Linked DNA regions of Macaca fascicularis. The protein of the gene in region 4 interacts with the protein of the main gene of each other region in a biochemical or structural test. Links are inferred from orthologs where the notes say so. Each region holds a gene or a part of one and is shown on either strand. Other genes may lie near its edges.

Region 1 (6,091 bases), on a different chromosome or scaffold from region 4:
CTGGGAGACGCCAGTTTTGAAAACTGGTACTATTGTGCTTGTTAGAGTCATGGTGAGGCAGGAGAATAGGGAACTGGGGTAGCCAAGGGTTGAGGCATAAGCAAAGTAATAGCAGATGCAGCCAGTTCACATAAGCAAGAGAACAGCAGGTGCAGCCAGTTTTAAGCAAGATTGGGCAGGACATAGGCCACATCTTCACTCCTGTGATAACAAGAAAGAAGTTTCCACTTCAGCCCCTGAATAACTGCAGGCCAAGTTTCCACTTTAGGCTCTGATTGGTCGCAGACCAATCCTTCATAGGGTGTAACCAATTGGAGGCCTCTAAAGGATACCCGGAGTGTTGCCAAGTTATTTTGGCTTCATAAAAGCCCTAATTGAAGAGGCTCTTGAGCCAGGTGCTCTAGCCCGCTCTCACTCTGCGAGTTCTCTTCAGTGAATCTGTGCTCTCCTTACTCCGTTCTCCTGTTGCTCTGTTTTTCGTTGCTTCATTCCTTTGTTACTTTGTGTGTTTTGTTCAATTCTTTGTTCAACAGGCCAAGAACCTGGACAGCTCTATCTGGTAACAATGAAAGAGTCAATCGTCCAAAACCCAAGAAGAAAAAAATCTTATTCAAGGTCCCAAGTCTCTAAATGGGCCCAGTTAGATGTTTGAAAAGTAAATTATGTGTGGAAGCACAGTCCGAGGAAGAACATGTTAAGTTTCTGAACACTCCTAAGGAAGGAGGAGGAAGACACCTCAGCCTGTTTGCGAAAATTGGAAAAGATACAAATTAAATGTGTAGATCCTGCAACTGGAGAAGACTGAGAGGATGTTTATATAGGGAGGAAGGGAGGGAAAGAAACAGGATTGGTAGGTTACCCCATCCAATTCCGTGGAATTGAGAGCTCGGAAGATAAAGTGGCCCAGGGTTTTCTTTCATCAGACTGAAATAGTACAGCCTTCCTGTTCCCACCTGGATCAGTCACTGGCGCTGGGCCACCCTGGGGCAGCAGGATCTTGGGTGAGGGAGTTCTCTGCAACTGAATCGTCCCAGAATAGGCTGACAACTGAAGGCCCCTGCCAACTGCCCCCCAGCAGCTGTGGCATCTTAAGGGGAATGAGGCCAGCACATCTCTGTGTCCAGCAAAACGCAACACATTTTGTGGTCACACACACTACATGAGCCCCAAAGTTCTCACGCTTCCCCCACCCCCACCTAAATTTCTGCAGGACATCATGATAGAATTGCCGTGCAGGCTGAAAGGAGGTGAAGATCCCCCTCTAAGGGACCTCCTGGTGCTCAGTAATGCTTTTATTTTCAATCACATACTATGGTAATCACATCAGCACAAGCACACAAATGTGGTTAAGTCACCCTGTGTTTCCTTAGGATTGACATTCCTAAGATGTCAATCACAAATTCCATCAGCCATACTAAAGACTGATTTATCTTGCTCTTCTCTCTGGAGAAAATATTACAAGATTAATATCAATGAAGAAGCAGAATATGCAATCAGAAATACATGGGGGAAAAGGTGGGTTAATACAAGTATTTTCCTGGCTTTTGTGATGTGTATGGCATTTGTCAGCATCTTTAAATGTGTCATTCGTTGAGACTTATTTTTTCTTTCGCTATCCTGCCTCCTTTTGGGTTGGTAATTTGGGGTTGTCTTTCTTAGGCCCCTGCCCTCGAAACCGCGCCGGGATCCCAGGCGGGCGAGTGAGGAAGGCGGCCCCCGCCCGGCGGCGACACCTAGAGCAAGTCACGCAGAAATCTCCAGGCCGTACTTATCTCCGGTGCACAGCGCGGGAGATGACACGCATCCCACCGGATCTCGCACAGCCCCGCTGATTAACAAGCACAGAGCCGTTGGAGCAACTTCCACCCACCTCGGCTACCGGAGACCCTCCCTCCCTTCCGCCGGACACGCTTCTTGGGGCGTGGCTGGAAACTCGGGCGTGGATTGGCTGGGAGGAGGGATGCAAATTTGTTTGAAAGGCCCAATCAGCGCCCGGCTTCTCCGCGCTGGCCAATAGAAAACCGAGAGGAAGGCAGGAAGGGCGAAGTCGCTTATTTGAGTGTGCGGCGCGCCGGGCCCTGCGGTCCGGGTCGCCGCTGGGGTAGCGGGTAAGTCTGCGGCTTGGTCCGATTCTGGGTCCGCTGCGCACCATGGAGAGCGAGGACGTGGAAGACGACCCGCTGCTGCAGAAACTCAGGGCCAGTCGCCGCCGCTTCCAGAGGCGCATGCAGCTACTGATAGAGAAGGTGCGGCCCCCGCCGGTCCGCCAGGAGGGGAGGCCTGCGGGTCGGAGTGAGGCTGGGAGGGGACGTAGGACGGGAAGGGAAGGGGCTCTGAGGGCTCGGAGCGGGAGCTGGGGAAGCGGGACTGGGGCTTGGGTGCGGAGAGAAGGTGGAGGCGGAGCTGGGGGCTCCAGAGAGGGAAGGAGGAGGCAGCGCCGAAGGCTTCGGAGCGGGGACTGGGAGGAAAGACTGCGGCCTCCGGAGCGGGGGGAGTGGGGAAGCGGGACTGGGGCTCGGGTGCAGAGAGGAGGGTTTGGTGGGGCTGGGGGGCTCCTGAGTGGGACGAGAGAGGCGGGGTTGCGGACTCCGCTGCGGAGACCGCGTTTGGGGCGCCCCCGGCCAGACTAACGGCCTCTCGCGGGCTGGCGCCGCCTCCGCCGGGGTCTGAGGCCCCTGGGACCTGACAGGAAACCCCTCCTCCTCCACAGTACAACCAGCCCTTCGAGGACACCCCGGTGGTGCAAATGGCCACGCTGACCTACGAGACGCCACAGGGTAAGCGTCATCCTCCCCTTCTGAGTATTCGGGTGAAGAGTGCGAATGGAGTAGTTGAAATGCTGTCACTGCTGTTTTAGGAAGTAAACATTGTTCACCTAATAGGAACCAAAACATTGGTGCCCTTAAACCTGTAAATTACTTGGATTACTTATTAAAACAATTCCTGAAGAGACATAGGTGCCTCCTGGCTCGCACGCCTCCGGCTTGCCGGGTTGGCATCCCCGCTGGCCATCTCCACACCATGGCAGCTCGGGGCAGTTGCTTAGCTGGACTGGTCTCAGTGTCTTCATCTGTGAAATGGGAAGGATGCTGACAATAATGTCTCCTGGGCAGGGGTGTTGTAACAGTTACGTACAATCCCTGTGAAACTCTGGGAACAGTACCCACCCTCCACTGCCAATACTCACTTTGACTATTGTTTGCCCTGTTTAACTTGGAGTAGTAACTGTCTTCCTTGAGGCTCCAAGTACTTGAATAGGGAGAAGGCATTCCGTTTAATAGTTAATGTAACGGACTGAAATCTTGTGGATTCTTTTTGGTAAATAGCTGGTGACAGTTTGCACTGGCTGGGGTCAATTCCTCCCGTATAGCTTTATAACTAACTCAGTATCACTTAATGAAAACAAACCTCACAGCACGTTCTGTGTTGCATTAAACAGACGGGCACAAAAGGTTCACAAGATCTGCTCCTTGAATTAAAAGAAATCCTACCTTTCCGCCTTTATAGGCAATCCAGGCGCATCTTGGGTGAAAAGTTTACATAGGCAGAAACTAAAATATTCCAGTGGCAGGTCTCTGTATAACATGTAGATTGCCCTGAGAAAGCATTCATTCCGTATATGGGATGTAGAGATTGCCTGCGAAAAGTGCTTACTCCCTCTAAATAGTATATAGATTGTCCTCTCTTTATGTATTTTAAGGACAGTTGCTGTCACATATGTTCCTTGTTTTCATGTAACTCTTTGGGCTAATGATGTAATTTGATGAGCCATTGCCTAGTAGGTAAGAGAGAGTTCCATCAATGACACATTTGCCTTAAAAACCTGAAACTTTACAAAGAGGAACAACAGCAGGGTATCAGAAGCCTGGCTTGGTTTTAATTTTGTACCTTTTTTTTGCCTGTCACTTTGGCTTCCAGTGAACACAGATTGAGCAGAAGTTCAGCGTTCAGGATTATGTCAATGGTCATTTTTGTTTCTTTTCTTCAGGATTGAGAATTTGGGGTGGAAGACTAATAAAGGAAAGAAACGAAAGAGAGATCCAGGTATTTAGTGTCAAATTTTATTGCCACATAACCTTGCTGTGGAGGAGCATTGATGTGAATAAAGGTGTGGGTGTGCCCAACCTCTGAGCTTATGCAGAGGCCACCACGGGGCACTTCTCACCTTGATTATACTCTTTTTCTGTTTTTAAGGATTTAGAAGCGTTTCTTCTGTAGCTTGTCAAGTGCAAGGAGGCACTGTGTAATGTTTGGCCTTTTTTGTCACCCTGTGTTTCCTGTGTCACAGGCTGAGGGGCTCTGATAACACACATGCAGAGGCTGGGCCAGCTGGGTAACCCTCCCCAAGGCCACGTGCCAGCCCAGCGAGGGGCTCACAGAAAAGACCAAATCCAGTTCCTTCTAGGGAAGAAGAATGTCTCTCTTCCTGTTTTGAAATGGGAGGAAGAGAGACGAGGGGAGGCGCGGCCTGGAGGACCACACATCTTTCCCTCTGCATTTGTCTACCTTCTGAAGACCCGGGTTTCCCTGCCTAGTTGTTCCGAGGGTGTTGCAGCTCTGAGACCTGTTATTTTAGTGGAAGGTGCTGTTGCCCTTTCTACAGGGACATCCAGGAGCCCTTTTGCCACAGTGGCTTTTGCAAGGTTGTCTGGTATTCAATTAATCACTGCCTCTCAGATGCCACATGGTTCCTCCCTGTGATCACAGGTCAAGGAACCCGTACCCAAGAATGAAAACATCAAGGTCAAGGTGACATAATATTAACAGCAAATTTGAAATCAAATCTTCTTGATTAATTATTCTAGTCATGGAAATGTTAAAAGTACATACAACTACATAAATGAGCTGATTTCTCTCTGCAAAGATGGTCACTAATGCTATTTTAGTACAATGTGATTCCCTATAATACACATCTTCATAAATGCATTTTTTTCTCCTTCACTTTTCCAGTTAATACATATGGCGAACTCATCAACTATTGTATAATTATAAAATTATATAATTATTTTAAAAATCATATTTTTTTAACTGCTCTCCTGTTGATAGGCAATTAGCTATTTGTGGCTTCCTTTATTAATAAATAAGGGTCAGCACACTTTTTCCACAAAGGGTCAGATGGTACATATTTTAGGCTTTGCTGGCTGTATGGTCTCTGCTGTAACTACTCAGCTCTGTGTTGCAGGGGGAAAGCAGCTGAAAATAATATGTAAATGAGTGTACGTGGCAGTGTTCCAATAAAACTTTATTTATAAAGCCTCTGTTAGATATGGTTTTCAAAGAAAATCCTGGTCCTTATCTCTTCCCAATACTGATATTTCCCCTTTTCAGTAAATTCTGAGAAGTGGGATTATTGGTTTAAAGGATATATACTCTTTGAATTATACATAATAGAGATGAGCACTCATCAGACCAGTGCTTATATGGTCCTGCTGGCAACAAGTTTTCATTTGAAGATTTATTTAAGATTTGTTTTTAAAATGTAGGAGGACCCCTACCCTGGGTCTCCAGAATCTTCAGACCCTTTCTTGGGATTAGGAAACTGGGCATAGCCTGAGATTTCAGCTGGGACATATCTGACTTCACTGTAATTGCTGTTGGTGACAGTACCCAGATCTGCTTTCACCTTTTCCCAGACGACTTGGTGCTCCTGCTGCCCTGGGTGCTGGGGGAGGCTGTGGGCCCTAGCAGGCCGGGCGTTGACCTGTGCTGGGTCGGTTATAACACAGTGCCTGGGCTCTCTTTGTAGCTACCAGAGCTACCAAGTAGTTTGGGGTTGTTGTAGATCGTCTGCTTCTCTGTGATTCTCAAACCAGATTCTGCCTCAGACACCGCCACAAAACAACTCTGTGAACTCCATCTTACATGATGGTTTCACTGGAAGCAAAGGTTCTGATATTCCAGAAGTGGGCTTCAGTTACCCTGTAGTGCTCCTGGGTAGCCCCAAGTCCTCTGAACCCTCAGAGTTGACACCTGAGGACCATCCCTAATGGTATAGGCCTCACCACCTTCTCACACCCTGTTCTTATAAGGCTGGGTGGTTCCTAAAATATTAATATTTTAGCCAATCTGGTATCTTGAATGCTTGAATTTC
Region 2 (5,238 bases), about 95 Mb from region 4:
TAATTTCCCAAAATAGTCTTATTCATTATTTCTTTTAAAATGTTTGAGCGTTTTGCCCATCTCCATAGGCACATTGTATTGTCCTCTTTAAAATACAGAATGTACTTTTTAAAGATGGAAATACATTTGAGGTCAGGCATGGTGGCTCACGCCTGTTATCCCAACACTTTGGGAGGCCCAGGAGGGCAGATTGCTTGATGAGCTCAGGAGTTCAAGAGCAGCCTGGGCAATGTGGCGAAACCCTGTCTCTTAAGAAAAATACTAAGATTAGCCAGGCGTGATGGCACGTGCCTGTAGTCCAAGCTACGTGGGAGGCTGAGTTGGGAGGATCACGTGAGCCCAGGAGGCTGAGGCTACAGTGAGCCATTATCATGTTACTGCACTCCAGCCTGGGCGACAGAGTGAGACCCTGTTTCAAAACAAGAAATACATTTGAAATTAATTTAGGCAATTGTTGTTCAACCTGTGGTTAAAAGTATGACAGTTAACTGAAAATTATTAAGTTGACTTAAAAATATTGTTGACTTAAAATTATTTTGTATTCAAACAGGAATGATTGTGATAAATATGTTTATCGTATGCAAAAATATCATAAAAGTAATGGTGGTATTGTCTGGGGCAACATCAAGAAAAAATTAGTAAGTATTTTTCTTTATCCAACACATATCTATGAAACAACTTTAATATATGATAAACTGTGGTAGTTATAAGTGATGTGACAGTCCCTGTCCCTAAAGTGATTATAATGTAATAAGTTACAATAATGAAGCCATGAATGAGGTAAGTACATAAGTACTGTAGGATTACAGATGGCATTACATAGACTGAAACATTGGAGCAAGGAGAAAATGGGTAAAAACTTTGATTTTTGGGAAATGAAGGGTGGTAAAAATATACACAGGTCTGGGAAGGATATTTCAGGCAAAACACAAAAGCTTATCTGTTCAAGGATTAAAGAATAATTCAGACTGAGTCATGATTCTCATAAAATAAGACATTTCATCAAATCCTATGTAGCTTTAAAATGGTTTCAAGTGTTTTTCAGATGTAGCTACTTAATTTTATTTTTTTATTTTTTATTTTTTTACATTCTAACATTTAAAATCCAACTACAGAAAAATTTTTAACTAAAAGATGCCTTAATAGAATTATCTGTATCCCTCAGAGAAAAGATTAGGACAATCCTTTATCCCCTTGAATTACTTTTTAAATTTTTAATTTTCTGATTTTAATTGCAATAACTGATAATCAGATATAAGTACTAGGATTCTGAAAAAAGTATTTCATCTCAAATTTCGTCAAAGTAAGTAGCTAATCTCAGAGAATGGTAACTTACGGGAACCCCCTTGAGTCCCTTGCTTTATGACACTGAGCAAGTTACTTAAGCTTTCTAATATCATTTTATTCATGTGTGGTATGATAATGGGGATCATGATTATATTGATTTATGTTACCAAATGATTTTGAGGGCTAAATGATATGATATAGTGTTTTACCTCATGTCAGAAAAAAATACATTTATATCACAGTCTGTGAGCATGAATTTGTATCTCAAAAATTTCTTCAAACAGTACTTACTCTTAGTATAGGGGCTATTATATTTTTTATTGTTACTTTTTATTTTTAAAAGATTTAATGATTGCCAGCCATGGTCAATAGTTTGATAAGCATTGTAATGTGTGTGAGCATGTACTTCAAACTTGCCATTTACATTACCATTTTAGCCAAGAATTTCAAATACAGAGAATTAAAATTCTGCTAGTACAAAACATTGTACTGTTAAATTAACAGACTGTAGGTAAAATACAGTAATTACTATTCTGTATAGTAATTACTATACTGTAATAGTATTGTAATTATAATTACTATATATAATCATGATAAATTTTGTTTATATTTTACGTTTACTAAACCAGTATATTCATTACCTAATTACTTAGTACATTTTGGCAACTTTTGGAGGCCCATAGACTATCCTTTTAACTGCTATAGCATTAGTTTATAGTTATGAGTAGTGTTTGCCAGCAGTGGAAAACAACATTGAGTAAGTCATGGTTCTTGCCCTGAATAAACCCAAAAGAGAATTAGGCATTTCACAGATAATTATAATGTGATTAAATGTTGTTATAGGCATAGTAACCTATAGTTCAAAGTAACCTGGGGATAAGCATGCTTAATTTTGTCTAGATTTGAGGTAGATTTCACCAGGAGGTACCATTTAGCTATTAATAGTAACTCTTTTATAGGTTGAAACTGATTTCTCAACTCCAACACCAAGGAGGAGAACCCCACTTAACACAGGTAATATACTTACAGCTTTCTTTTGTGGCTCAGTTCTATTATAAGGTAGATTCTTTATTTAAATGGTATTAAAATTAATTGCTCTCAAGTGGACAGACTTAGCATTTTATTCCTTATAGTTGTTTTCAGTTTTATTGAAAGTACTTTTAGAAATTTATTAATCTTTTTATTAAACTTCTCTTCACAGATTTAGGAGAAAACTCTGGTATTGGAAAACTTTTCACTAATGTTGTGGAATCTTTAGATGAAGAAGAGAAAGATTATTATTTTTCAAACTCTGATTCTGCATAGTAAAATGAGAAAATATGATTCCTGGGATTTTTACCATAAAGCAGACAGTGTGTTTGTATTTTCAACTGGAGTACATGTATTTTCTTTGTAAAGTAGCTTCCTATGAAAATGTGGACTTCTTTGAAGGTTTTATGTGTTTGTGTTCAAACTAAAATATCCTTATTGCTGCAGCTTACTAAAAATGTAAAGAAAATTGTTTTTGCTTGTGTAGACATCTGTACATTTGTTTTTGCATATTAAAATATATAGATACTTTTTAAATATGCATCCAAGTCTTTTTACTTTAAGAAAAACATTTCCCAAACAGATTTTTTTTTTTTTAATTTCAAGAAAATTTTGCTACCATTTAAGTAAGTAAGGGAGGGTGAGAAGGGTGACAGAGGTTGTACTGGTAGCTATTGAATTCATGAAAACTTTTAAGTTAGCATTTGTTACCAGTTATTATCCAAGCCAGAGTAGGATTTGTTACCAGTTGTTATCCAAGCCTAATGTTTAAATTACACATTGTTGGAATTAAATTACACATTGTTGACATGCTCCTCTCCTGATTGTTTTTATTTTATGTGATTGGCATATCTATGAAACCTATGTATATTTAGTTTATTGCTTTGCCATTATTTTACTAGATATTTATTTTATTTTACTAAATAATTATTTTACTAAATAATTATTTACTATTTTGTTCTCTAATTTTTAAGTGTTATTTACATATGCAGATACAGCTTAAATATTTTGACTAGATTAGACAGTTAATAGATCCACCATTAGTAATCAATATATTATGTCATAATAAACATCCTTTTTCTTTCACTGAAATTTCGTTTAGAAATAAACTTATTTTCGCTTATTATGTTTTGAAACTTGACATATAGGATATTTTCCTTCTGGCTACACATTCATCTACCTTTGTTCTCTATTTAGATTATTCAAATAAAGTTAGTTTGCTTTTATAATATTTGTTTCTTGTTTTTTGTTTGTTACTAATTACTGGGTGATAGAAATAAAAACAAATCACGAGTGGTCCTGTTTAAAGTTTCCTCAAAAGAAAAAAAAAAAAAGTAACATTTTCTTGTTTCTTAAGTGTTTTAGTCAGAGCAGGCCTGGTGTCATATACCTGTAGTTTCAACTACCTGGGAGGCTGAGGAAGGAGGATTGCTTGAGCCTAGGAGTTCAAGGCTGAAGTGTGCTATGATCATGCCTGCAACTAGCCACTGCAGTCTAGCCTGGGCAAGAGAAAAAGACTCCTCTTAAAATAAATAAGTAAATAAAATAAAATAGTAATAATCAGCAGTTGTATAATTACAGGACTCATGGAAACACTGTAAAAAGAACAGTGCAATTGGACTAAGATTATTATTTAAACTACTATGATTATTTCTGCCATAAAGACCATTGGTGGATATAGGATGGATCAAAAGAAAGGTTTATTTTGGAGTGGCCAAAAAAAATGCTGTTGTATTACTTGAGTTGCCAATACTTGATCTAATACTATACTGCTTGGAGTTAATGGACAGTGTTTTAGGAGTTAAGAAGGTGGTTAAATCCCTTAACAAAAAGTAAAAAGGTAATTGAAATGGCATAAACTTGACTCAAATCAAGAGTCTGACCCCTACTGCCTATATATTCCCTTGTCCTATCAGAACTCCTTCAGCGCCTTCCCTATTCTAAGGTATCTCACCTGCCAGGTACCTGGTTTGTCCCATTTCTATCAGGTCATAAGATGAACTAATAATAAAGTTTAAGGTAAGTAACCTCCAAAGGAGACTTAAAAGTGGAAAAGAAAAAGACCTTAAGGACTTAAATAATAAGATGGATAATCAATGGTTAATGGCTACCAATAAGAGTATAGGAGGAGGCTATTGCAAGCCTAAATATGGATAGAGCTCTCCACACAGAAAGCATAAATAAATGAAATCCTCTAGGTTATGTCTGTAACACCATGTTAATGTACATAATTTTTTTTGTCTGATGGGTACACACACAGCTGAGTCTGAGCATGTGGTATCTCTGAGGTTGAGGGACTGCATGATTCTGGCATGCAGCTGGGGCAAAGTACCACCAGATGCCCCTACCCACAGTCCCTGCTGACAATGTAGCAGCAGCATGATGCATGAAGATGTAGCACAGTGGAAGGAGAAAGGCTCCTTTCCTCCTGTCAAAGCTTAGCATTGTGCTCACTACTAAAGGAGAAATACTCAAAAAGTCCAGTTACAGAAAATTGATAACTGCACACTAGGCAATAACTTACAGTGTTTCCTCTCTCTGGTTTTGACAGAATTATTGAGCAGTAGACATAAGAAGTCAGCTGCTTTCAGACAAGTTGAGAGTTGATACTATCTCAAAGGAGCTAAGCAGAATAACTTTTTTGTCCCCTTTTACCAACACCATAGAGTGAAAGAGAATCATATCTAGTTTCTGGGTTCTGCTTCTAGATTTGCCAGCCTAAACTTGAATAAGTCACTTGTTTCTGGGCATCACTTTTATCATTTGGTAAGAAAGGGAAGAGAAGTGATTTGAATTACATGAGCTCTGAAGTCCCTGCCAGATTTAAGGTGAGGAAAGCTCTCTGCGGTGAGGCTGGTTCAAGTACCCAACAATGTAATAGGGGTAAAAATGAGGCCGAGAATAAAGGACTCACATAATTAA
Region 3 (6,161 bases), on a different chromosome or scaffold from region 4:
ACTGATATATTTTCTAAAACAGGATATAGAAAAAGCAAAAAGAGAACTGATATATGCAAATGACTGATTTTTTACTATCATGGAAAGTTTTATCCCAAGTAATCTTACTACTAGTAATGACATTTTAAAGATTTTTATTAAAAAAAAAATTCTCTAACATATTCATATACAGTTTTACTCACCAACCATTTTCCTTTTCACGTTTGGATAACTTCTGTTCCTTATCCACAGAAACATTACAGGAAACACCTAGAAACAGAGAAAGTAACAATAATTTATTAATGTGGTTCATTATAACATATATGCAGACAATTTCTAGTCCAACTTTTTAGAACTTGAAGGACAAAAAATAAGCCCAAAGTCACACACACACAACAGTGGTTTGAAATGAAATGTACTGGGGCCTTCTGGGAAAAGATGGCAGAATAAGAGTTATTTCCAACCAGATGCAGTGGCTCACACCTGTCATCCCAACAATTTGGGAGGCCAAGGTGAGAGGATGGATTGGGGCCAGGAGTTCAAGGTCAGCCTGGACAACATAACGAGACTCTATCTTCAAAAAAATGTTTAAATAAAAATTTAAGAAAAATTTTAAAAGGTTATTTCCTCCCTTTCCCTGAAAACCACTAACATTAATAGTATGGCTAAAATTAGAGGGAAAAATTCATTCCACAGTAAACTTGGAACCATTAGAATCTCAAATCACAGACTGAAAAGAACTATCTGCCAGTTAGTGAAACTGGGTTCCCAAACTAGGAAGATGCAAACAGCCAACACATATATCTCCAGATTTCCAACACAGGGCCCATTTCTCTAAAAGTAACTGAGAAGGTCCTCAGGATCCCAGCCACACATCTTTTACTTGAACAATGACTTGGACAGAGGTCACTGCTGGACTCGAGGCAGCAGCAAACATTCCCAAAGAATCCAGGTCTAGGACACACTAAAGGACAGGGTAGAGGGTGAAGAGAAATGAAGAAAGGACATCAGACCTAAAATGGCCAAAACAGACTCTTGATTTCATGGCCTCCTACAGTCTACCTGAACTCTGTAAACTCCATCCACCTGCTTGCTGAAATCAGAAACCAGGGTGTCATCCTTGATTCTTCATCTCCTCATCTTGCTCCCCCATATCTACTCCACTGATCCATCCCATCAATTCTACGTCACAAACCTCACTCCAGCCCCCAAACGAACAGCACTAACTCTTGCCTGGACTACTACCCTGGCTCTTCACTGACCTCCCCCCTTCCATACTTGTTCCTCCTTCAATGCTTTCTCCAAAGAAAATGCAGGGTCATATTACTCCCCTGCCTAAGCTAGCATAATAATGTACTTACTAGAACAGATTACTACTCTTTAGAACAGACTAAAACGTCTTGCAGTTTCTGGTCTCTTCCTTCCTCCCTAAATCTTATCTTTATTCTCTTTGACCATACTCTAGTCTCAAGGATTTTGCACCAGCTGCTCAGCACCTATCAAAAGCAGAGAGCATGACCAAGAACTGTACCCGCAGCCCAGCTAGCATTCACGTATAAAAACAGGAAAATATTTTCAAGCACATAAACTTGAAATTTTCTTGGAGATGTGGACGTGGGGAGCACTAAAGATTAAGCAAACAACTCAGGAATGAAAAAAGCTATTAAGAAGCTTTCTTATGTTAATGAGTACTGGAGTTGGGAAAAAAAATTATATAAACATTATAGGATCGGGTGCTCTAACTCACATTTGTAATCCCAGCACTCTAGGAGGCTGAAGCAGGGGATTGCTTGGGGCCAGGAGTTTGAGATCAGCCTGAGCAACATAGCAAGACTCTGTCTCTACAAAACATTTAAAAATTAGCCAGGTGTTAGTTTGTGTCTGTTGTCCCAAGCTACTTGGGAAGCTGAGCTGGGAGGACAGTTTGAGCAGGCATTCAAGGTTACAGTGAGCTATGATTGTGCCACTGTACTCCAGCCTGGGCAACAGAGGGCTGTTAACCCACTATAACCCTATTTAAAAAATAATCTATTAAATAATTAACCCTATTTTAAAAAATCATAGTAAGGCTGTTATGTCTACAACAGAATGTAAATGTACAGAATGTAAATGTATAAACCTTAACAAAATGAAAATAATTAAACTAATTCAAATTGGGTAAGGAAGGAATGGAAATGAATCAGAATTCATGTTTGTCTTTACGGGGGTGGGGGGGAGGGCGGGGAGATGTTAAATCCTATTATCTAAATCTGATTAATCAAAAAGTGTATAGTTCTTTAAACTATGTTTACTATTTTAAAACTACGTTTTAAATTTAAAAACTATTAATATAAAAATTAACAAAAATAATTGCCTTTCTATAAGTAAAGCAAAACAAAGAAAAGAGGCCACATGGTAAAAGATACTATCGAAACAAAGTACAAATAAAATGAAAGATGTAACACCAAACATGTTATTTCTTAAAAAGATGTAAACAAGGTAAACTCATTCAAAGAGCTTTTCCTACTGGATCAAAAATCTGCCTGGTTTTTCTTTTCTTTTTTTTTTTTTTGAGATGGAGTCTAGAGCTGTTGCCAGGCTGCAGTGCAGTGGCGCAATCTCGGCCCCTGCAACCTCCTCCTCCCTGATTCAAGCGATTCTCCTGCCTCAGCCTCCGAATAGCTGGAATTACGAGCGCACACCACCATGCCCGGTTAATTTTTGGCTTTGGCGAGGGTGGTCTGGAATTGTATTTTCAGTAGAGATGGGGTTTCACATGTTGGCCAGGATGGTCTCGATCTCCTGACCTCGTGATCCGCCCATTTCAGCCTCCCAAAGTGCTGAGATTACAGGTCTGAGTCACCGCGCTTGGCCTAGTTTGATTTTAAGAGGTGCAAAGAGTTTATCTCAACTTTCAGTTAACTAGGGGACACTGGTGTGCTCCTTTATTCCCAGTATTACACCAAGGAAAACGTTCCAGAAACGTCGATAAGCCGGTGATGAATTTCTGCCATCGAAACATTTACAGTATTCAAAGACAGGAAAAACCTCATCTTGAAAAACCACAATCCAAAACAACAGCCATTTTTACACCAATTGAGAAAAAATATGTGAACCACTTTATCCCTAAATACTGTAAAAATAGCAAAATGAGGGAACAGAGGAAAAACAGGTAACTGCTAGGACCAGGATTAGAAACGAATTCCCGCCGCCTTCTGAACTCTTTTGCTACGTCCTCCTTCCTCGCCAATTTTGATGAGGTTGGTGGTGCTTTTACGGCAAATTTCCTTCCCTTTCTTCCCCATAGCACTGTTCCGTCAGCTCCGCGGCCCTATCACTGGAGACTGTAGAGGTATCCGCTGATACACACAGCCCGCTAATTTCTGTGGGGAGTAATAGTACTGGCTGCACCTCAAGTGCTTACAGTCTAGTTGACCATTTGTTTCTCTTTTTTTAGGGTCTTTAAGAGTGTTATTCTTTGTTGCCCTTTGCTTCTGAGTAATGCTCACGATGATGCTGACTCAACCGCTGCTCTTCTGGGATCGGGGAGCCCAGAACAGAACCAGTCGCCCGAGAACCAAAGTGGAGGGGTGACCCTCCTCCCCTTTTCCTGCGACAGCTCACACTCTCAGACTTTTTACTCTCAAAGTCCCTGGACAGCGCCAAGGAGCCCCCGCCCCCTCCGGGGCCGCCCCGGCGCGGCACACCTGGAAGAAGGCGACCCCACGCCCCCATGCCCGGCTCGACCCAACTGACAGCGCAGCAGGATGCAGTTGGTGTCCTCCTGGCTGGCCACCCAGCTCAGCGAGTCGCCCAGCGGCCGCCGGCAGCCGCAGCACAGGAACACCAGCGGCCTCTCCTCCGCAGCCCCCGCCTCCTCGAGCCGCGCCTTCTCCGTGTCGGCCACCGACGCGTCTTCGCTCACGGAGCTCCACATGCTCGCCCACTTCTGCAGCAGCTGGTGGCGACTCGAGTCTTCGGAGAGTCTCTTGCCCAACAGCGAGGAGTCGCTGCCCTTGCCCTTGTCGCCGCACTCACAGCCGCCAGCGCATCCTCTGCTGCACCTCAGGGCCCGAACGCCCGCCATTACCTACAAACCGCCCGCGCCCCAGAGCGCGAAGGGAAAAAAAACCGCCGCTGCACATGCGCGGGGCGGGGCGCGTTGGCGGAGGCCGAGAAGGGGCAAACGCTTGAAGGGGCCGGACGGCGGGCCGCTTCTAGTGCGCATGCGCGCCGTGCGTCCTTGGCCTGGCGTGTTAGTCACTGCGCCTGCGTCAGGTTTTCCAGCCTGAAGAAATTGACGCTGCTGACCTGTTTGCTTGTCTTCCTAAGGATTATTCACCCCTTTCCGTGGGAGGGGCAGCGTCACTGAGAAAGTTACGGGCTGCAAGCCTGAGTGTCTAAGAACCACCTGGCGAGCTTCTTAAACAGATCGCCAGGCTCCATCTTCACAGACTCTGGTTCAGCAGGTAGCAGGTTAGCCCGAGAATCTGCATTTCTAACAAGCTCCTAGGCTTGCCCACGCTGTCAGTATTGGCAGCCCAACCTTTTTTGGGGGATTGGGAGGAGTCTTTCTATGTTGCCAGTCTCGAACTCCTAGCCTTAAGCGATCTTCCCGCCTCGACCTCCCAAAATGCCAGAATCACAAGCGTGAGCCACTGTGCCAGACCACCACCCTTTTTCTTCTTTTTTGTAAATGGACTAATTATAGTTGCATATAAGCGACTCCACTTTTGATGAACACTGCGCTATTTTGTCTGCTCCTGGGGGCCTCCTTTCCATGAAGTGGAGAAGGAAGGGGATAGGGGAGCCCCTCGTCACAGGGTCTTTTTGCGCATTGCTATTCCTAGAATGAGACCCTGGGAAGGGCCCCGGATCACTCAGGCTGTCACTGCAAGGAAAAAGTTGAGGAAGCAGCCATGCCCCTGGAAAGCTTGGAAGTGTGCCTGCTGCTTGGATCAAGGAATAATTCGTCCTTGCAAGGAAGAAGCATCCCTTCTTGATGATAAGGACAGATTTCCCCAGCTGCCCCAGAAAGCCAGCCTCTGCCTAAAACACCATAGGTCAGGAGGGAAAGCTGACGGGGAACCAGCCAGCTTTATGCACCGGAGACAGCCTGGTGGCATACCTGGGAAGAAAGCTACCTGCAAGGACCTACCTCTGTTCCCACTACGCGCTGGGTGTCCCCCAAGTCACTGCCTACTTTGCTTGGTTGCATAAACTATTTACGTACTTACAGCCACTAGCAAAAAGCAAAAGCTTTGGAGTCAGTGGTCCTGGTTAACTTACCCCTCCCTCCACAAGGTAGTAACAGTGTAGGGAACTGTGGAAAAGGCTGTTTGCCTTTCCTGAGTCTGATTCTTCCTGGAGTAAATGGAGTCTGTTTCTTCAGTACTACACCAAGTTGTTCATAAGGATCAAGTTTTCTAATATTCATGAAGATACTTTGTAAACCCTAGCACACCATGCTCATGTTAATGAGCTTCTTACTGGAAGAAAATGCTTTAGATAATTTAGGCTTTTTTTTTTCCACCCATAGAATTCCCTTCCTTCCTTCTGCTTTTTTTCCTTTATTTTTTCAGAGATGATGTTTCAGTATGTTGCCCAGGCTGGTCTCGAACTCCTGGCCTCAAGCGATCCTCCTGCCTCAGCCTCCCAAGTAGCTGGAACTACAGGCATGCATCACCATACTTTGCCCCTTCTGCTGTTGTGGAGCCAAGCCTGACCTTCCTGGACTGTTGTTTTCAAGCATAATATATCTGGTGCAACATTGATACAATCCACATGAGTTCTTTAATTAAGTGGCTAGTTACTTTGGGATTCAAAGGATCATCTTGTCTCAGGCTTTGGGTTCCTATTGTCAATACTTTAATTCTATGATAGGGTGCCCCAGGAAAGAAGGAATACAAGGCCGAGCTGCATGGTGACTTTCAGGGACCCTATTTTTGCCTCGGTAGGCCTTTCCCTCCATAAAACAGTTAACAAAAATTTCATTATATAGTCACATTGCTATGAAGATAATTATATTAAAATGATATCATAAAACATTTTTAGACCTATAAGTTCATTTATTTCTCCTGATTTAAAAAATGGAAACATTTTCATGATCCTTCAAAATATGGTTTGTAAGCATGGTGACTCCTGCACCTCATGGAGAAGTTGGCTGGTGCAAAATGAATTCCTCTATAGGCACAAGTGTGTGT
Region 4 (5,917 bases):
ATATTAATATAGAGTATGCTATGAAGAATTTTTTTTTTTTTTTAAGACAGGTTCTTGTTCTGTTGCCCAGGTCAGAACATAGTGGTACAATCATAGCTCCCTGCAGCCTTGAATTCCTGGGCTCAACTGATCCACCTGCCTCAGCTTCCCAAAGCTGGGATTACAGGTGCATGCTACCATGCCCTACTAATTTTTTTTGGAAGAAATGGGGTCTTACTTCCCAGGCTAGCAGAATTCTATTAACAAAATACAACATAAAAATCACATAGCTAGCCCGGGCATGATGGCTTATGCCTGTAATCCCAGCACTTTGGGAGGCCAAGGCAGGTGGATCACCAGAGGTCAGGAGTTCAAGACCAGCCTGGCCAACATGGTGAAACCCTGTCTCTACTAAAAATACAAAAATTAGCCAGGCATGGTGGTGGGTGCCTGTAATCCCAGCTACTCAGGAGGGTGAGGCAGGAGAATCGCTTGAACCGGGGAGGCGGAGGTTGCAGTGAGCGGAGATTGTGCCATTGCACTCCAGCCTGGGCGACAAGAGCAAAACTCCGTCTTAAAAAAGAAAAAAAAAAAACAAAAAACACATAGCTAAAAAGAAATATTCATGTCAATGGATACTAAAAAAGAACAAATAACAAAATATATTAGGTTTATTGGTAAATGAAGTCCCACACCACACATATAGTAATCTTGTGAATATAGGTAACCAAAAAGCAAACTGTGAAATAAAGTGTCATTAATTTGAAATTCCACGTAGGAATTAATTAGTTCAGACAAAGCACAGTACTTATAAACAAATGTGTCAGTGGAAATTAATTTACTGGGCCGGGCGCAATGGCTCACGCTTATAATCTGAGCATTTTGGGAGGCGGGCAGATCACCTGAGACCAGGAGTTTGAGAACAGCCTGGGCAACATGGTGAAACTCCGTCTCTACTAAAAATACAAAATTTAGCTGGGTTTCCAGAAGGTTTTCAATTTACTTTGCCCATATCCATCAGAGGAATAACTATCTATAGTAGCTATAGATAGTAACAGTAAATGAGCATTGACTTCAACTTAAAGTCATCAGCTGCATTGGCCCCTAACAAGAGAGAAAGCCTGTCCTTTGAAGCTTTTTTTTTTCTTTTTTTTGGATGGAGTACAGTGGTACCATCACAGCTCACTACAGCCTTGACATCCCAGACTCAAGTGATCCTCCCACCTCAGCCTTCCAATTAGCTGGACCACAGGTGCACACTATAATGCCCATCTAATTTTTAAATGTTTTGTAGAGATCGGTTCTTGCTATGTTGCCCAGGCTGGTCTTGAACTCCTATGCTCAAGCAATCCTCCCACCTTGGTCTCCCAAAGTGCTGGGATTACACGTGTGAGTCACTGTGACCAGCTCCTTTCAAGCCAGGTAATACTTCTCCTTTCTACCTATGAAAGTCTGAGATGGCATCTTCTTCCAATAGAAGGCTGTTTCATCTGCACTGAAAATCTGTTGTTTAGTGTACCCACTTTCATTTTCTGCAGCTTCTGCATCAGTACTTGCTGTTTCACTTTGGACTTTTGTTATAGAGAAGGTTTCTTTCCTTAAATCTCAAGAACCAACCTCTGTTTTTTTTTTTTAGATAGTCTTGCTCTGTCACCCCGGCTGGAGTGTGGTGGCACAATCACAGCTCCACTGTAGCCTCGACCTCTATGGCTCAAGCCAGCCTTCCTTCTCAGCCTCCCAAGCAGCTGGGACTATAGGTGTGCACCACCACATCCGGCTAAATTGTTTTGTATTTTGTAGAGACAGCATTTCACCATGTTGCCCAGGCTGGTCTCAAACTCCTGGGTTCAAGCAATCCACCCACCTCGGCCTCCCAAAGTGCTGGGGCTACAGGCATGAGCCATTGCACCTAGCCAACATTTGCTACTTTCAAACTTCTGCAGCTTCCTCACCTCTCAGCCTTCACAGAATTGAAGAGAGTTAGGGCCTTGTTCTGGATTAGGCTTTGGTTTAAAGGAATGCTGTGGCTGGTTTGATCTTCTACTCATACCACTCAAACTTCCTCCATATCAGCTTATAACTGGAGTAGCACTTTTAATTTCCATGTATTTGTTTGTTTGATGGAGTTTTGCTCTTGCTGCCCAAGCTGGAGTGCAATGGTGTGTTCTCAGTGCACTGCAACCTCTGCCTCCCGGGTTCAAGTGATTCTCCTGCCTCAGCCTCCCAAAGAGCTGGAATTACAGGTGTGTGCCACCATGCCCGGCTAATTTTGTATTTTTAGTAGAGATGGGGGTTCACCATGTTGGTCAGGTTGGTCTTGAACTCCTGACCTCATGTGATCCACCCACCTCAGCCTCCCAAAGTGCTGGGATTACAAGCGTGAGCCACCGCGCCCGGCCCCATTTTTTTCTTCATATTCACAATTTGGCATGACTTCACATGCCTTCCCAGCTACTCGGGAGGCTGAGGCAGAATGGTGTGAACCTGGGAGGCAGAGCTTGCAGTGAGCCCAGATCGCGCCACCGCACTCCAGCCTGGGCAACAGAGTGAGGCTCCATCTCAAAAAGAAAAAAATCAAACCAACAAAAAAAAAGGAAATGCTGTCAACAGACTTGCTCAACAAGTACATGTCAGTTCCACGCTCCTCAGTCTCATAAAGTCAGGGACTAGAGACCAATCTGTAATTATCAATACGTACCTGCCTTTGAGTGAACCTTCAATGCCAACTAGGAAGGGCGCTTCCAAAACGACGTTATTTGTAACTCCTAGGAACACAAACACGGGTCAGAACTCATACTCTGCGGGCCTTGAAATGGAAAATCTCTCCTCTAGACAGACTCATCCCCGCCATAAATGTCAGGAGACTCCCCAGTTCCCTGCCCCATCCCCAGGCCAAGGAGTTATGTGCTTCCAAATTTTCATTCCGTTTTCTTCCCCAGGTGGAGAAGGCGGGAACAACCTCTCGGGCTAGCCTCTGCCTTTCCCGAACGCCTCACTGCACTCACTGGAGAAGACCACGGCCCCAAGGGACCGCGACAGGTCCCAGGCGAGGTGCACCGAGTCGGCGAGCACGGCGTGGCATTGTGCGCACTGGAAAACAGCGCACCTCTCAGGCTGCAGCCAAGACGGCAGCTGCGAGACGGCGGCCGGCTCCTCAGCCCCCAGCCCTGCGGGGCCGAGCGGCGAGGACCCCTTCACCACCTGTGTATCCCACTCCATGGAGGTCGTAAAAGATGCTTCGTCAATCGCCCTCTCAGTGCCATCACAAAAGTCACCCTGGGGCGGCGTTGCACAAGGGGAGCGATGCCGCCGCGGCTGAAACGCCATCTTCTCTCAGCCGGCGCCGTCGTTTCGAATACACGCCAGGCCCCGCCCCAAGCACAGCTCCTGCGTCCTCATTGGACATCGTGGGCAATCCAAGCACTGGAGTCCCAGTCCGCGCACTCGTTACCTGAACCGGTCTTACAGGCCCTTCGGCGCCTGCGTATTCGTGAAGTGTGAGAAAAGCGCGCGACTGTTGGGACGGGAAATCAGCCTTTCTATTGGTCAGGGTTAGAAACCCCGCCTTTGAGGCATTTTCAACCAATGGAAGCGCGGCATTCTTCATTTAAACTGTCTATAAATTTCAGCTTAGTCAAAGTTAAGAGTGGCGCCAGGGATTTGAACCTCGCTTACGAGACTTGGTGATCCATCTTCTGAGTATCGCCGGGATTTTGAATCGCGATGATCATCCCCTCCCTAGAGGAGCTGGACTCCCTCAAGTACAGTGACCTGCAGAACTTAGCCAAGAGTCTGGGTCTCCGAGCCAACCTGCGGGTACGACGCTGGCGGGGCAGTTCCCTGGGCGGGCGCGGCGGGAGTAGCGGCCTCAGGGAGATGCGGTGCGAAGGGACCGAACGGGAAGCCCGGGGACTGAAGCAGCCGTCCCTGCCCCTCGGGCAGTAGATGTGGTTCACGGTGGTCCCAGTTAGAACTCTGATAAACGGAAGAGGAACTGTAGTTTTCACCTCATTTTGAAGCTGGCTTGTCTGGGTGCTCACATGATAAGCCTCTGTTCCGAGGGGTGGTTTGTTGTTTTTCGTTTTTTGTGTTTTTTTTTTTTTTTTGAAATTACTTTATACCTCTCAGGTCATCGATTACGAAACGCAGGCCCAGAAAGCAGAAGGGGTGTCGTTAATCGTTAGACAATTAAGTAAATAATTGGCTCAGCTTCTAGAAAACCCCACACAGACTTCAGTGATTTGTAATATTGCCGATAATCTCTTGATACTTTATTGATGGACCTGTCAGGGGGAAAGAAAAAATCGACTTTTAGGGGACCACCTCCTTGGGTAAATTTTTATAACTCAGCCCTGATCTAGTATACTCATGTGCTTATTGATGACTGTTGTGGTGATGGTATCTATCAAAACCAGTAAGGTCTTTGACTCCGAGGCTACAAGATGTTAGGGGAATTGGCCGGGCGCGGTGACTCATGCCTGTAATCCCAACACTTTGGGAGGCCAAGGTAGTTGGATCACCTGAGGTCAGGATTTCGAGACCAGCCTGGCCATTAAAAAATTAGCCGGGCGTGGTGGCACACGCCTGTGATCCCAGCTACTCGCCTGTGATCCCAGCTACTCGGGAGGCTGAGGCAGGAGAATCGCCTGAACCTGGGAAGCCAAGGTGGCAGTGAGCCAAGATCGCACCCACTGCACTCCAACCTCGGTGACAGAGCGAGACTCAGTCTCAAACAAAACAAAAACAAACAAACAAACAAAAAACAAGATGTTAGAAGATTTGGGGATTCAATGTAGGATAGCGGTTTTATATATTTTGTTAATAGTTGAGACTTCCCACATAATACTGCTGTGTGCTCTCTAGGTTTGTCCTGCAGGCTATGATACTGACACTGAATAAATGCCTAAATCAGTCGTCACAAATGTTTTTCTTTTCTTTTTTTTTTTTTTCTTTGAGACAGACTCTTACTCTGTCTCCCAGTCTGGAGTGCAGTGGCACAATCTCGGCTTACCACAACCTCCACCTCCCGAGTTCAAGCGATTCTCCTGCCTCAGGCTCCTGAGTAGCTGGGATTACAGGCGCGTGTCACCATGCCCGGCTAATTTTTGTATTTTTAGTAGAGACTGGAGTTCACCATGTTGGTCAGGCTGGTCTCGAACTCCTGATCTCATGATACGCCCGCCTCAGCCCCCCAAAGTGCTGGGATTACAGGCGTGAGCCACCACGCCCGGCCTAAATTGTTTAAACAAAATAATCAGGGCCTAAGTGCCTGTTGGGGCTGAATGACCAAAGGGTTTTCCTTGTGGATATTTCTGGGCTATAGTGGTTTGTGGCTCCCCTATACTTTGTAAACAAAGCCTTAATATCTCAGCCTAAATTCCTTAGGCTTTTTTGCTGCCTAGCTAGAATCTTTTATCCACGGCTGCATCCCTGAACACTTGGAACTTTTATCTGTCTTTGTCCCATTGCTCATTTTGACCCTTTGGCCTCAGATCACCTTCTTTCTCCTTTATCTGCCTGACTCTGTGTGTGTGTGTGTATTTTTAGTAGAGATTGGGTTTCACCATCTTGCCCAGGCTGGTCTTGAACTCCTGGGCTCAAGCGATCCTCCGGCCACGGCCTCCCAAAGCCCTGGGATTATAGGCGTGACCCACCACGCCTGGCCCATATCAAGTATTTATAGGTGAAATGTTACGATACCTGTAAAATTTGCTGTAGAATACTCAAGGAAAAAGAGGGAAACTAGATGAAGTAAGAACGCAGAATGTTAATAATTACTGAAACTGCTAATAGGTACATGGGGGGATTGCACTATTCTCTCTACTTTTGTAGAAATTTTCCATAATAAGATGTTTTAAATTACAAACTCTTGGTACAACCCAGGTGCTCATTAAGTCAATTGCCTTTTGAAATTGTAGTACGTAGCAAAAAAATTTAT

The links.
Region 1: the proteins of OIP5 (region 4) and HJURP form a complex in vitro, tested with the Homo sapiens proteins (2 studies listed by BioGRID). The link is inferred for Macaca fascicularis from reciprocal best matches to the Homo sapiens genes OIP5 and HJURP.
Region 2: the proteins of OIP5 (region 4) and MIS18BP1 form a complex in vitro, tested with the Homo sapiens proteins (2 studies listed by BioGRID). The link is inferred for Macaca fascicularis from reciprocal best matches to the Homo sapiens genes OIP5 and MIS18BP1.
Region 3: the proteins of OIP5 (region 4) and MIS18A form a complex in vitro, tested with the Homo sapiens proteins (3 studies listed by BioGRID). The link is inferred for Macaca fascicularis from reciprocal best matches to the Homo sapiens genes OIP5 and MIS18A.

The regions. Positions count from the first base shown.
Region 1 is NC_088386.1:129,792,122-129,798,212, reverse strand, and holds the start of HJURP (Holliday junction recognition protein), read left to right. Parts: upstream 1-2,083; 5' UTR 2,084-2,150; coding exon 2,151-2,246; intron 2,247-2,710; coding exon 2,711-2,777; intron 2,778-3,988; coding exon 3,989-4,044; intron 4,045-6,091. UniProt on the Homo sapiens protein: Centromeric protein that plays a central role in the incorporation and maintenance of histone H3-like variant CENPA at centromeres.
Region 2 is NC_088381.1:113,243,866-113,249,103, reverse strand, and holds the end of MIS18BP1 (mis18-binding protein 1), read left to right. Parts: intron 1-550; coding exon 551-638; intron 639-2,246; coding exon 2,247-2,301; intron 2,302-2,488; coding exon 2,489-2,592; 3' UTR 2,593-3,545; downstream 3,546-5,238. UniProt on the Homo sapiens protein: Required for recruitment of CENPA to centromeres and normal chromosome segregation during mitosis.
Region 3 is NC_088377.1:14,603,499-14,609,659, reverse strand, and holds the start of MIS18A (protein Mis18-alpha), read right to left. Parts: upstream 4,069-6,161; 5' UTR 4,046-4,068; coding exon 3,715-4,045; intron 250-3,714; coding exon 183-249; intron 1-182. UniProt on the Homo sapiens protein: Required for recruitment of CENPA to centromeres and normal chromosome segregation during mitosis.
Region 4 is NC_088381.1:17,880,216-17,886,132, forward strand, and holds the start of OIP5 (protein Mis18-beta), read right to left. Parts: upstream 3,337-5,917; 5' UTR 3,307-3,336; coding exon 2,985-3,306; intron 2,745-2,984; coding exon 2,678-2,744; intron 1-2,677. Other genes in the region: NUSAP1 (nucleolar and spindle-associated protein 1), read left to right, coding at 3,703-3,795. UniProt on the Homo sapiens protein: Required for recruitment of CENPA to centromeres and normal chromosome segregation during mitosis.